Mus musculus: one gene and its partners. The protein of the gene in region 3 binds, or shares a complex with, the protein of the main gene of each other region. Links are inferred from orthologs where the notes say so. Each region holds a gene or a part of one and is shown on either strand. Other genes may lie near its edges.

Region 1 (2,583 bases), on a different chromosome or scaffold from region 3:
TCAGGACCATTCATGTGATATATTTAAAATCAGAATCTTTCTGGTCAGCTGGGGCTGAAGAATCAGTTGTGATTAACAGAGACCAGCACCACTGAGGTAAATCTTCTAGGAAGGAACTCTTCAGGGTCAACACACCCCTCTGTGGTCCAGAGGGGACCAAGGCTGCATCTCAAGCTGCCAGATAAACTTAGTTTAAAAAAAAATCTCATGTGGTACTGGTCAGTCACATAAAAGCTACAAGATTAAAGCTATCATGGAAAGGACTCAGGAGAGGCCACTGATGAAGGTGCAGTTTCAGTTGCGGTGGAGACCCCAGGACTGTGGGATAACCAGTGGTGTGCGCTGTGGATGGCGGAGCCGGGAAGTGGGGGAAGAAGCCCAAGCCCTCTGGAGCTCAGGAGCTTAGAGTGAGCTCTAAATGTCAGACACTGAGGTTTTTACACTGCTGGATGTTGGGTTTGCTTTGATTGTAACTGTGCTGTGGTTCTACCCTCAAAGAGAAGACAGAACTTTAAAAAAAATTTTTTTTTATTTTATTTTACAGGACCCACAGTTGTGACTTTGAACTTTTAATGTATCTGAATTCTTTAAAGATTATGGGACTTTCAAACGTTGGGTGACGGAGCAGAGAGCTGAAGGCCATATGCAGATCACAGTGGGGCTTTGTTAATCCACATACACAATTGAAGGTTATAGACATCAGTACTACCTGTTCTGAGCAGAAAACAAGCCACCTCTTTAATAACACGTGGAAAGTAGGATTCTGTGGGACCTGGGGAGATGGTTCAGTGGGTAAAGTGCTTGCCGTGCAAGCATGAGGACCTGAGTTCAAATCCCAGCACCCATGTATGTAGACCCAGGCACAGGGATACAGTATTATGATCCCGGTGCTGAGGAGGTGGTGGCGGGATCCCTGGAGCTCACTGGCAAGCCTCATCAGGGAGTACCAAGTCCTAGTGAGAGACCTTTTCTCAAAAACCAAGGTGGACAGCACCTGAGGAAGAACACTGGAGGCTGGCCTCCGGTCTGCATGCACAGCACACAAAGGGTGGAGATTTTGTTTTGATTTGATTTCTTGGGTTTTCTTGAGACAGGGTTGCTATCTAGTCCAGGCTGGCCGGGAACTCTACATTCTCCTCCCTTGGTCTTTTAAACGCTGTGATCATAGGTGTGTTATCGTACCCGGCTTAAAACATGTGATCCACCCCCTGCAGGGTCTCTTGAGCTGCTGACCTGGGCTGGGGTCCTCCTGCTGGCACAGGATGGAAACAGGGACAGGACGTGGACACGCCTTAGTAGCAGTCAGCTTCGTTCTCCTCCAACACACCCACCGTGGCCAGCATGTCCTGCAGCAGGGACTGTGGGCTCTTCTCCACATGGTCGCTGCTCTTGGCCAGCCTGCCCTGCAGGCCCTCCAGGTCTAAGGCCCTGAGGATGGCTAGCATGGCCTCAGGATCCAGGTCCCCTAGGGGCTGGGCCTGCTCTCCTTCCCGCCACCTCTGCAGGGCAGCCTCCACTGAGGCTGAGTTGGGGCTGTCCCCTGCCTCCCGAGGGCTACTGCAGGGAACTGTCTTGTCCCTCAAGAAGAGGAGCAGGTCACAGGCCTTTTGGGCCACCGGTCGGTCACAGTCAAGCAAGGCACAAAAGGCAAACTCAAAGAGCGGCAGACGGCAGAGAGTCTGCAAGAATTCCGGGTGTGGGCGGGGAGAGGAGGCCCTGGGCAGGCCCACTGTATAGGGACAGTGGAGGCTGGGCTGGCCCAGTGCCTGGGTGAGGAACACCCGTGCCAGCTCCAAACCCTGCACTCGGACCTCCCAGTCCAGATCCCGGCTCACTGCCTGGAGAACAGTGGCCACGAACCACTCCGTGTCTCGAACCACGTCAGCATGGCCATCCCTCAGCCAGTCCGTGAAGACCCGTAACACAGCCCTTCGAGGGAAGCCCTCTGAGTCAGTGGACAGGATATGCATAAGGTCCATGAGTAGGCCCTGCAGGTTGGAGAATTCCAAAAAAGTCGGCCCGACCCTGATAACTTGTCAAGGATCCAATGCAGCTATGAGACCGCCCTCTGAGTGACCGTGATAGAGCATCTAGGGAAGGCTAAGGCACAGAACGGCTGGGGTCTCACACTGAATAGAAAGGAGAACGTGAGCCAGGTGCCAGCGTCCATCTCTCTGCACCCTGACTACAGCTGCCTCAAGCTCCTACCACTACGGCTCACCCAACCAGGAGGATGGCACCCTCAAACTATGAGCCCTAACGAACTCACTTCCTTAACCTGCTTTCTTCAGGAATTCTGATTCAGCAGCAAGAAATCCAACTAATACAGTGACGAGCCAAGGACGGAACCCAGGAGACGTAAGTACTCAGCCATAGCACGGGCCATGTGCTGCTCTGGTCCCTCAACACGATGTGTTCTGAGTTCCTCCAGCCCTGCCCTTGCTTATCAGGGTGGGGTGTCAGAAAGAGCACAGGCACTATGCCCGACTGCCCCCCACTCCTTGGTGGTCCCCCTCTCAGAAGCAGTTGCTACAGATTTGGCTAGCTGCTCACCAACTCCCTGTGTCTACCTGTTGGGCCTGC
Region 2 (4,074 bases), on a different chromosome or scaffold from region 3:
AGTTTAACACTCATATAGCTTAAAGTTTGATCTACTAAATATGACAGCAAATCAGTTGTATTGTAACAGTTTATTCTCATGGCATTTCAAGACCATATTTACATGTTTAAAGTCACTTCCAGTTCTTGCTTTTTAAATTGTGGGACAGCACGAGGGAAACTTGACAAATGCCACCATCTTTAGCAATAATGTGGTACGAGATACACTCGTTTATTTTTTCTGACCTTAAGGAATTTATGACAAAGGATTTGGTGGTGAGTATGGCGGGGGATGGAGATGGGGTGGTGTAATTCCCCAGTCAAAGTTAGAGAGGTATGTATTAGGGTATTCTTTTTTTTTTTTTTTTCTTTTTTAATTTAAGCCAAAGCAGTTCTCGTGCAAACTCAAGCTTTCTGTTCGTGCTAATAATGGAAGGGCAACGCTGCTTTGGTGGGGATAGCAAATGTCCCCAAATGCAGCAGATCCTAACTGTAAAATAGTACGCATGTACAGCGTCCAATCAGGAAGGGCTGCGACGTAAAACTATGTCTTTGGGGAAAGTTAAGTCGTGCTCCAAGAGGTCTTTTTTCCTGCACTTAACTCAAAACGACCACACAACCCCCTACCAGGCAAAGCTGCCCTGTTGCTCTACCCACGCAGGGAAAAGACTAGAGGGATGGCTCGCAGCCGAGGGGCCCACGCGTCACTCAGCGGAACGGCGCGAAGCCCGTCCATCTGCACCCACAGCAAAAGCCTGCGGTGAATGTGGGGCTGGCAAGACTCTCAAGGGCTGCGAGCCGTCACCGGTCCCACCCTGGCCTCCAAGCCCAGCCCCGCCGACCCCTGAGGGCGAGCGCGGATCTCAGGAGGCGGCGGGGGGACGAGCGGCCCGAGCGCCCTCTTTACCTGGTCGCAGGGGCGCGGCCAGGCAGGGAGGGCGCGGGAGCATGCGGGCGACGACGCGGGCCACCGCGCCTTCCCGCCCAGCTCGAGCCGGGACTCCGAGGCTACTTCTGGAAGCCGCGGCCTGAGGAGGAGCACTCGCCTCCCAGCGAGGCCCTGAGCAGGGGAAAGGGGGCAAAAAGAAGGAAGAGACAACGTGTCTGCGCGTCCCCCGCCCAACGCCATTCATAATCCGGCGGACCGGAAGGAGTGCCCTACGTCACTTCCTGCTGTCTCACTCGGAAACGTTCCCCTTCCGACCTGTTGCGGGAACCTTTGTTTCTCTCTTCTTAAAGCTGGTGAGGGCGGGGACGGATTCGAAGAGAGCTACCGGGAACCGACCGAGTGGCGGGGCGGAGCGGTGAGTGGTGACGAGGGTCCCCGCTTCCTGGCGCCTCGGGGGGAGGCTCGAGACCCCGCGAGGGGCGGCCGGAGCGGAGCTCCGTGGGCTGTCGGTCTCCTCCCTGCTGGAGGGGAGACCTCATAATTTGCGGGGTGGTTGCGTGGCTCCGCCTGAGCGCTCCTCCTAGTCTGGAAGGACTGAGTGAGGAGGGCGCCGAGGACGGTGGCCCGGGGGACCGGGACCGTGGAATTGTCCAAGACCTTTGACCGAGGGTTCCGGAGACCTCTGTACAGCTCCCGTTTTACATCTCTGTTCTGGCCTCCTTGAGAAGGACTTACCCCTATTCGAGGCCGCCCCCAGTGTGTTTTGATTCCATCAAAGAATTGGCATTTCGAAGTGTCTCTTGACTCTCCTTAGCTTCTCTAGCGCTTGGGTTTGTTTTGGAATTGGGGTTTTTACATCCTGAGTTTCCAGACTTCCCCAAAGGCGAAGCACTAAATGGAAAGAAGAAGTTAATTGGAAAGGATTACAGAATCTTGCAGAAACACGAATGGGATGGTCTCGAGTGTTGTAATGAGTATTGCACTCTCTGCAGTTTCCTTTATCTCATGCACTAGCAGGTGATCAACTTAGAAGTTTGTTTGAAACTAGTAGGCAGGGTGAAAGAGATCTGAGAGAAAGCATCTATTTAGGTAGGGGTGCTCAATTTTGTTTGGGGACATCACAGCAGCCTTGAAAAGGACCATTTTGGCAAAAATCCAGTTGATTCAATAAATATTTTTTAAAAACACCTGTGAAATGCTACTTGCCAGGGAAATTCCTGCATTCCCCCTCACATTCCCCCTTCATAAACTTCTGCTCTCATAAAAGCTATACACTAGTGAGATTAATAATTAAAGACAAATGAAAGAGTAGAAAGTGAATGTTGCAGGTCAGAGCACTGTACACATCCCTACCCATAAAATAGACGATTGTCTTGCTTTTTTGTGTTTGAGTTATGTTGAGAGGAAAAGACAGTTGCATTTCATGAATGCCTTTTGCTGAAGTGACTAGAACTGTGTAGAGTAAAAGACAAGAATATTAGACTTCGGTGAGTTAGCTGAATATAATAGTCTGGTCATTGTTTTCAGAGTAACAGAGAAATAAGAGGAAGTGAGAGAAAAACCATACAGAGTCATCTGCCTTGAGATGGTATTTGACAACAAAATGCTCATGACTGCTGAAGAACAAATTGGTAGTGAGACTAAAGCAAGACAGAGCATTGGAACAATAGTGGCAAGAATGAGAAAGCCAGGGAAAGAGAGGTCCAATACCAACTTAAATGTAAAAATACAAAGTATCCCTCTTGTATTCACCTGATCTTAAAATAGGGGAGAGTAGCTAGAGCTAGAAGGGGACTTGGAAAAGGGAAGCTGGACTTAAAACTGACTTGGAGAAATAAAGAGTCAAGAGGCTGCAAGAGGTCCTGTTCAGTAGGAAAATGTAATTGTTCTTTCTGGAAAGATGGGAAGTGAGTTGACCAAACAAGCATGAGAATGCTAAGTGTGAAGCATGCTAGATAGGACTAATAACCTGGAAGAGAATATGGTATTTCTTTCAGTGGCACTTGTTTGGGTGTAGACGGGAGAAGATGCCAAATAGAAGCATGTCTACACAGTAGGTAAACCTTAGAGCAGTGGGATAAGGATGCTTAGAGAACTGGAAGAGAGTCACGGAACGGCTTGTTCTAGAGTGGAAGCCGAACAGGAAGGGAATAGCATACTGCCATAAACAGAGGTAAGCGATGCGGGGAGATTATTGTGTAGGCTGGCAGTTGCAGTGTGTCTTGCATAGCTACAGGTACTTCCTGGTGTGCCCCAACCATCCCTCCCACCAGCGCTAGCTATCACTGCCACATCCTAGGTTATTGATAGTTTTACAGTAATAAGTATTCATTTTCTTCCTTTCTTTGTTTTAAACAGTGCTTAGGTTTTTAAAATAAACTCACACTTAACATATTCTTTCATCTATCTTCCTGTTCTCTATTTACATGTACATTGTTTATGCCACCTACTGCTTCTCTTTGGTTTGAAAAAGAAATAGGAGCAAGAAAGAAGGGGGGGGAGGGAATTAACTAAAAAAAATATTGTCTTATAATACCCCAGATATCTTCTTGAGTTAAAACAGTGGAGAAGGAAAAAAAAAAAGGAAGATATAGTTTGCAAAGAAGGAGGCTGTTGATTGTAGTCATAGAGAATGGTGTAGCAGACTTCACATTTCACTAGCTGAAAATGAAGCTTTCTGTTAATGAACTAAATAAAATTATTTATAAAATGTTTTAGAAGATCATAATATATGCTTAATTAAAGGTAATGTCAGGGAGAGAGAAAGAAGGGCCTGGCCCTAATATTATGTAAATAAACCCCTGAGGTCAGAGGTTGATAAATGGAGTCATGGAATTTCTAAGCTGAGCAATACAGAAGAGGTTCTATCTGAGTACTGTTATAGCTTTTCTGATGGAACAAGTCAGAGGAACACTTCCGTGTTGGGAGCTGTAAAACATGATGTCATTAGTGAGAATAGTAAAGACAGATAGATAGTGCTTGAGGAAAAAGGAGGAACTATAGAGGAATGTGTTATTAATGACTGGGCTAATAAAGCTAGTTTGAGGAGGGTGAAGGGCTGAGCTCAGTAAAAACACTGGATGGATTTGCAGGATGAGCATCTGTGCTTTAAAGAAGCCATGATGTATTGGGAGAAAAGGGAAATTGGAAGTTGCTGGATAGTTTAGAATAGTGGTCTCTAAATCTTTCTTATACACACACGCTCAC
Region 3 (4,391 bases):
AAAAAAAAAAAAAAAACAAGCTGAGATTCCCCAGAAGAGATCAAGACTGAATGCCGGGAGGGCACTTAGAAGGTGTTCCAGTTTGCTTGCCATTGCTGTGGTAAAACACGATGACCAAGCTAAATGTGGTGGTGCATACCTTGAATCGCAGCATTTGGGAGGCAGAGGCAGAGAGGCAGAGAGGCAGAGAGAGAGGCAGAGAGGCAGAGAGGCAGAGAGGCAGAGAGGCAGAGGCAGAGGCAGAGGCAGGTGGATCGATGTGAGTTCGAGTCCAGCCTTGTATACAGAGTGAGTTCCAAGATGGCCGGAGCTACATAGTGAGACCCTGTCTCAAGACAAAACAAAACTAAAGGCGAACCGAAACCAACCAACCAACCAACTAAACAAACAAAACCATAAACAACACCCACTGTGACCAAAAGGAGGCAAAGTGTTTAACTAGTTTAGATCCCGATCACATCCATCACGTAGGGAAGTCAGGGCCTAGAGGCAGGAACTGAAACAGAGGCTATGGAGGAAGGCTATTTATTGCTTGCTCCCCACAGCTTGCTGAGCTTGCTTTCTTATCAGCTTCAGGAACATCTGCACAGAGATAGTACCACAAATAGTGGGTTGACACCATCCACATCAATCGTCAATCAAGGAAATGCAGACTAAAGGGAGGCATTTTCTCATTTGAAACCCCTCTTCCCAGATAACTCTAGCTTTGTGTGAAGCTGATAAACAAAAACAATAACAAAAACAAAACTTAAGGACAGAAGGTCTTACTGAATTCCAAATGCCCAGTGAAACAAACCATCACAGTATTAGTAAGTAAGTAAGCAGTATTAGTAAGAAGACAGAAAAACAGACCTATTCAAGAAATTCTCATTAAGGGAAAAGAATCAAGATGTGGCTATCCCTCATGTGCACCTGTGAAAGTCTTATTTGTTTTGTTTTGTTTTTCTGAGACAGGGTTTCTCTGTGCAGTCCTGGCTGTCCTGGAACTCACTCTGTAGACCAGGCTGGCCTCCAACTCAGAAATCTGCCTGCTTCCTCCTCCCAAGTGCTTGGATTAAAGGTGTGCATCACCACTGCCCAGCAAGGGAAAGTCTTACTCAAAAACAAGACTTTGTTCAAAAGCATGTTTGTGTTTCACAATGTAACTCATTACCATCATGCTGAAGACCAAACCCAATGTATTGTGTGCATCCTAGGCAACCATGCTGCCACTGACATAGATCCCTAGTCCCTATAATATACAAAACCCATAGCCAACCTCACATTTTTAAAGCAGTAAACAGAGCTAAAATGTAAGGACCTGAGAAAGTTTATTCAAACCCTTTGGTAGGCACAGCACACAAGTTTAACCTACTGAGAAACTATTTTGATATTCGGATAGTAATTATTGGATTAATTATTGGATCTACACTGTTTGAAAGGGAAGATAATAATTAGAATACTTCTTTTTCTTTTCTTTCTTTTTAATACTTCCTTTTCTTGATTTCTTTTTCTCTCTCTTTTCTTTATCTTTCTTTCTTTCTTTTTTTGAGACAGGATTTCTCAGTATAACTTCCCTGGCTATCCTAGAACTCAGAGGTCTGCCTGCCTCTGCCTCCTGAGTGCTGGAATTAAAGGTGTGCCACATCTGGTTTCTTTTCGCCAGCTTTTGATTCTGAAAGGGAATGGCTAATTTTCCATTTGCTCCTTCCCTGCTTTAACCTCTGTGTATACGTTAAGCAAGAAGATTTTATGAGTAAAGCAAAAAGTACCTAAGTTCTGATACCCTCCCAAAGAAGTTGTTCTGAGAGGCCAGCCTGGGCTACAAAGAGAATTCCAGGACAGCTAGGGCTACACAGAGAAGCTCTATCTCAAAAAAACAGAAGAAGAGAAAAAAAAAAAAAAGTTGTTCTGGAATAAACGTTTCTGCATCGCTTCTCTCTTAAACAGAACATACCAAACACACTTCACTCTATTGAGGATATTTCTCTCCACGTAGCAATTAGGAAGATTCTACAGTAAGTTGGCAGTGAGAATGTAGGGAATAGGAGGGCGACGACAAGCATTTCACACCTGCGTTCAATTTCCTTATTACTCTATTACTTATTCCATTAAGCTTGAATAAAACAACTTGTTAGAACGGTGTGCTCAGAAAAATGGGGCAAAGCAAATATCTGAAAAGGCCACCTGTCAGCTTAGTGTTTTGCCACACAGTTACTTCTTCAGGAGGCATGTTTTATCTAGAGCTGTTTATTTCAAGCAGGCTTTAGACGGGAATCCTTCAAGGGCACCACCCTTTAGCATCTCTTTCTTGTAATTCGAACTGCAGTTAGGAGTAACAGGACATTTAGACCTTCTGTCTGATCGCTCCTACTTTCTGTTCAGATCGGAATCCAGCCTCGCAATATCAGTAGGAGTCCACTCAAGTGCTCATTAAGTGGAAAGTGGTTGATGATCTATTATAGCTCTCAGGTGCAGGCTGAGAAACATGACCAAACCAAAGTTTTGGAGCCTATCTTTAGCCCAAGGGTGAAGAAATGTAACATACAACCTCACGTGCGGCCAAAGGGATCTGCCAAACAGTAATGAAGACCTCCTGACAGATGCAGGAGCTGTGGGATGTGAGCAAGCGGGAATTCAAATCCCAATCGCAAAACCCAGCTCACTTTATAATTTTTAAGTGCTGACCTCCCTCCGTGATAAATCATGGTGGAGGCGACAGACTCCAAAGATATATAGCATTCATTACCTTTGCCCTCTGACTTAGTAGTGGAAACTCACCAGTTTCATATCGGACTTTTGGTTGTTCAGTACCAGTCTCTTCACTTCTAAAGACAGGGAAGGATCTTCCGGTTTAATCTCTATAGCCCAGAGCATCGCGGGACTTGGAGTCTTCACTCCTTAAGCATTTTCCAGAGCCTCACGGGAAATGTAGTTTTACTGCAGGTATCATGGGCACTGTGGGCGTCTTTCCTTTTCCTCCCTTTTCTCTCTAATCACCTCCTTCCGTCCGCTCAAATTCATCGCCGCCGCCAATTCATCCTTCCTTTCCATCCCAGCATGATATCATGTCCCTCATCTGGGTCTAGCATCCATGGTATTCTGGGATGTGTAGTCCGCACGATTTCAGCTCCCAGCTCCCCTCCTCCCTGTGGGAAGGCGTATGGGCGCAGTGCCTGCTGGAAGCTGTAGTTCCCTAGGGCCTCAGACCCTCAACTCTGCACTTTTCCTCTAGGGAACCGGAAACTACAACTCCCAGGGATGCCCAGCGGCAGCAGGTGGGAGCGGGGCTGTTGCTATCAATATGGCGGTTGTCAGCCAGACAAAGACAGTCAGTCTGATGTGATTGAGACAAGGGAGGTTTTCAGGGGGAGACTGGGAGATAGGGGCCTCCCCTCCCCCCTAGGCTCTTCCTGCGCGGGCCTGGAGCCCTCCTCAGCCCCTCCCGCAGGGCGCCCCGCGGTGAAGATCCCCTCCCCCTCCCGCCTTCCTCCTCCCTCCCTCAGCCTTGCACTGGGACGCTGGGGAGGGGGCTGAGCAGGGTGCAGAGAACTCTCAGCTGGATTTCCAAGGTGAGTGGGGTCGTTTGCAAGCTGGACTGCCTCAAGTCTCTTTTCCTCACTTCTCTCATTACTTTAAGGAAAAAAAAATGTCGAGATGTTTGGGGGGGAGAGAAAGTGAGTAGGCGCCACAGATGGGTCTCTGGAGTAGCCAGGTTGAGCATAGGGGAGCAAGTAGGGGTACTTCCGAGGGGGCGGCCGTGCGCGGGCTGTGGGGTGGGGCAGTTTGTGAGGGGCGGGCGTGGAGAGGCGTCGATGGCTTCCCAACTTCTCTCTGGTCTTCAGGACCGGCGGAAGGTTTGAATCCTGGAGTTGGGGGGTCTTCCTGCTTGGGAGTTTGAGAAACTGTAAGGTGGTTTCGAGGTGTGCTGGTTTGTTTGGGGAGTGTCTCGCTGTGTTTTAAACTGTGACGTGTACTTGGGTGCTGCGATCGTCTTGAAGGAATGTCTGTAGATGGTAAGTTAGATGGCTGGAGTCAGAGATAAGCGGCCTGGGCTTGGGAAGCACGCAGGAGTCCCGGGCTGGACTTTTGGTCCAAGGATCTTGTGCAGGGTTTGGGGGGGCTCAGTAACTCGTTAGTGTCTGGGCGCCCAGCTCACACTCGGTGCCCTACTCTGGGCCAGTCTCCACCCCAAACTCCCGGCAGGACTATATAGATGATGTGATGTGGAGATGCATCTTTGCCTCAAGTCGGCAGCTAAAGGTGGGAAAGGAAAAGTGTCTCTTAGTATTTTATTCCGGAACCGTGTTTGGGTTACACTATTGGGGCTACTTTGAAAGGAGTCCTCCACCCACCTTCACCCCGAAACAGTAAGTAGAGGTATCTTGTCATCTTCATGCTCAGTAGCTTGC

Evidence for each region.
Region 1: the proteins of Ints9 (region 3) and Brat1 are in contact, whole or in part, in a cryo-EM structure (PDB 8UIB), measured with the Homo sapiens proteins. The link is inferred for Mus musculus from reciprocal best matches to the Homo sapiens genes INTS9 and BRAT1. Residues at the interface, in NP_060720.2 of Homo sapiens: Gly276, Met277, Gly279, Glu280, Cys282, Ser283, Asn284, Ala286, Leu287, Arg290, Asn291, Tyr315, Asp317, Ser318, Ala319, Gly320, Ser483, His484; in NP_689956.2 of Homo sapiens: Ala406, Pro407, Cys416, Pro460, Gln506, Lys507, Arg508, Cys510, His511, Pro512, Arg517, Glu545, Leu549, Gln552, Asp556, Pro557.
Region 2: Ints9 (region 3) and Ints12 share a complex: the UniProt entries of both Homo sapiens proteins name them as parts of the integrator complex. The link is inferred for Mus musculus from reciprocal best matches to the Homo sapiens genes INTS9 and INTS12.

Annotation. Positions count from the first base shown.
Region 1 is NC_000071.6:140,717,307-140,719,889, reverse strand, and holds the end of Brat1 (BRCA1-associated ATM activator 1), read right to left. Parts: coding exon 2,571-2,583; intron 1,989-2,570; coding exon 1,293-1,988; 3' UTR 511-1,292; downstream 1-510. UniProt on the Homo sapiens protein: Component of a multiprotein complex required for the assembly of the RNA endonuclease module of the integrator complex.
Region 2 is NC_000069.6:133,090,695-133,094,768, forward strand, and holds the start of Ints12 (integrator complex subunit 12), read left to right. Parts: upstream 1-1,160; 5' UTR 1,161-1,282; exon of another isoform or gene 1,283-1,345; intron 1,346-4,074. UniProt on the Homo sapiens protein: Component of the integrator complex, a multiprotein complex that terminates RNA polymerase II (Pol II) transcription in the promoter-proximal region of genes.
Region 3 is NC_000080.6:64,948,737-64,953,127, reverse strand, and holds the start of Ints9 (integrator complex subunit 9), read right to left. Parts: upstream 2,836-4,391; 5' UTR 2,770-2,835; coding exon 2,761-2,769; exon of another isoform or gene 2,729-2,760; intron 1-2,728. UniProt on the Homo sapiens protein: Component of the integrator complex, a multiprotein complex that terminates RNA polymerase II (Pol II) transcription in the promoter-proximal region of genes.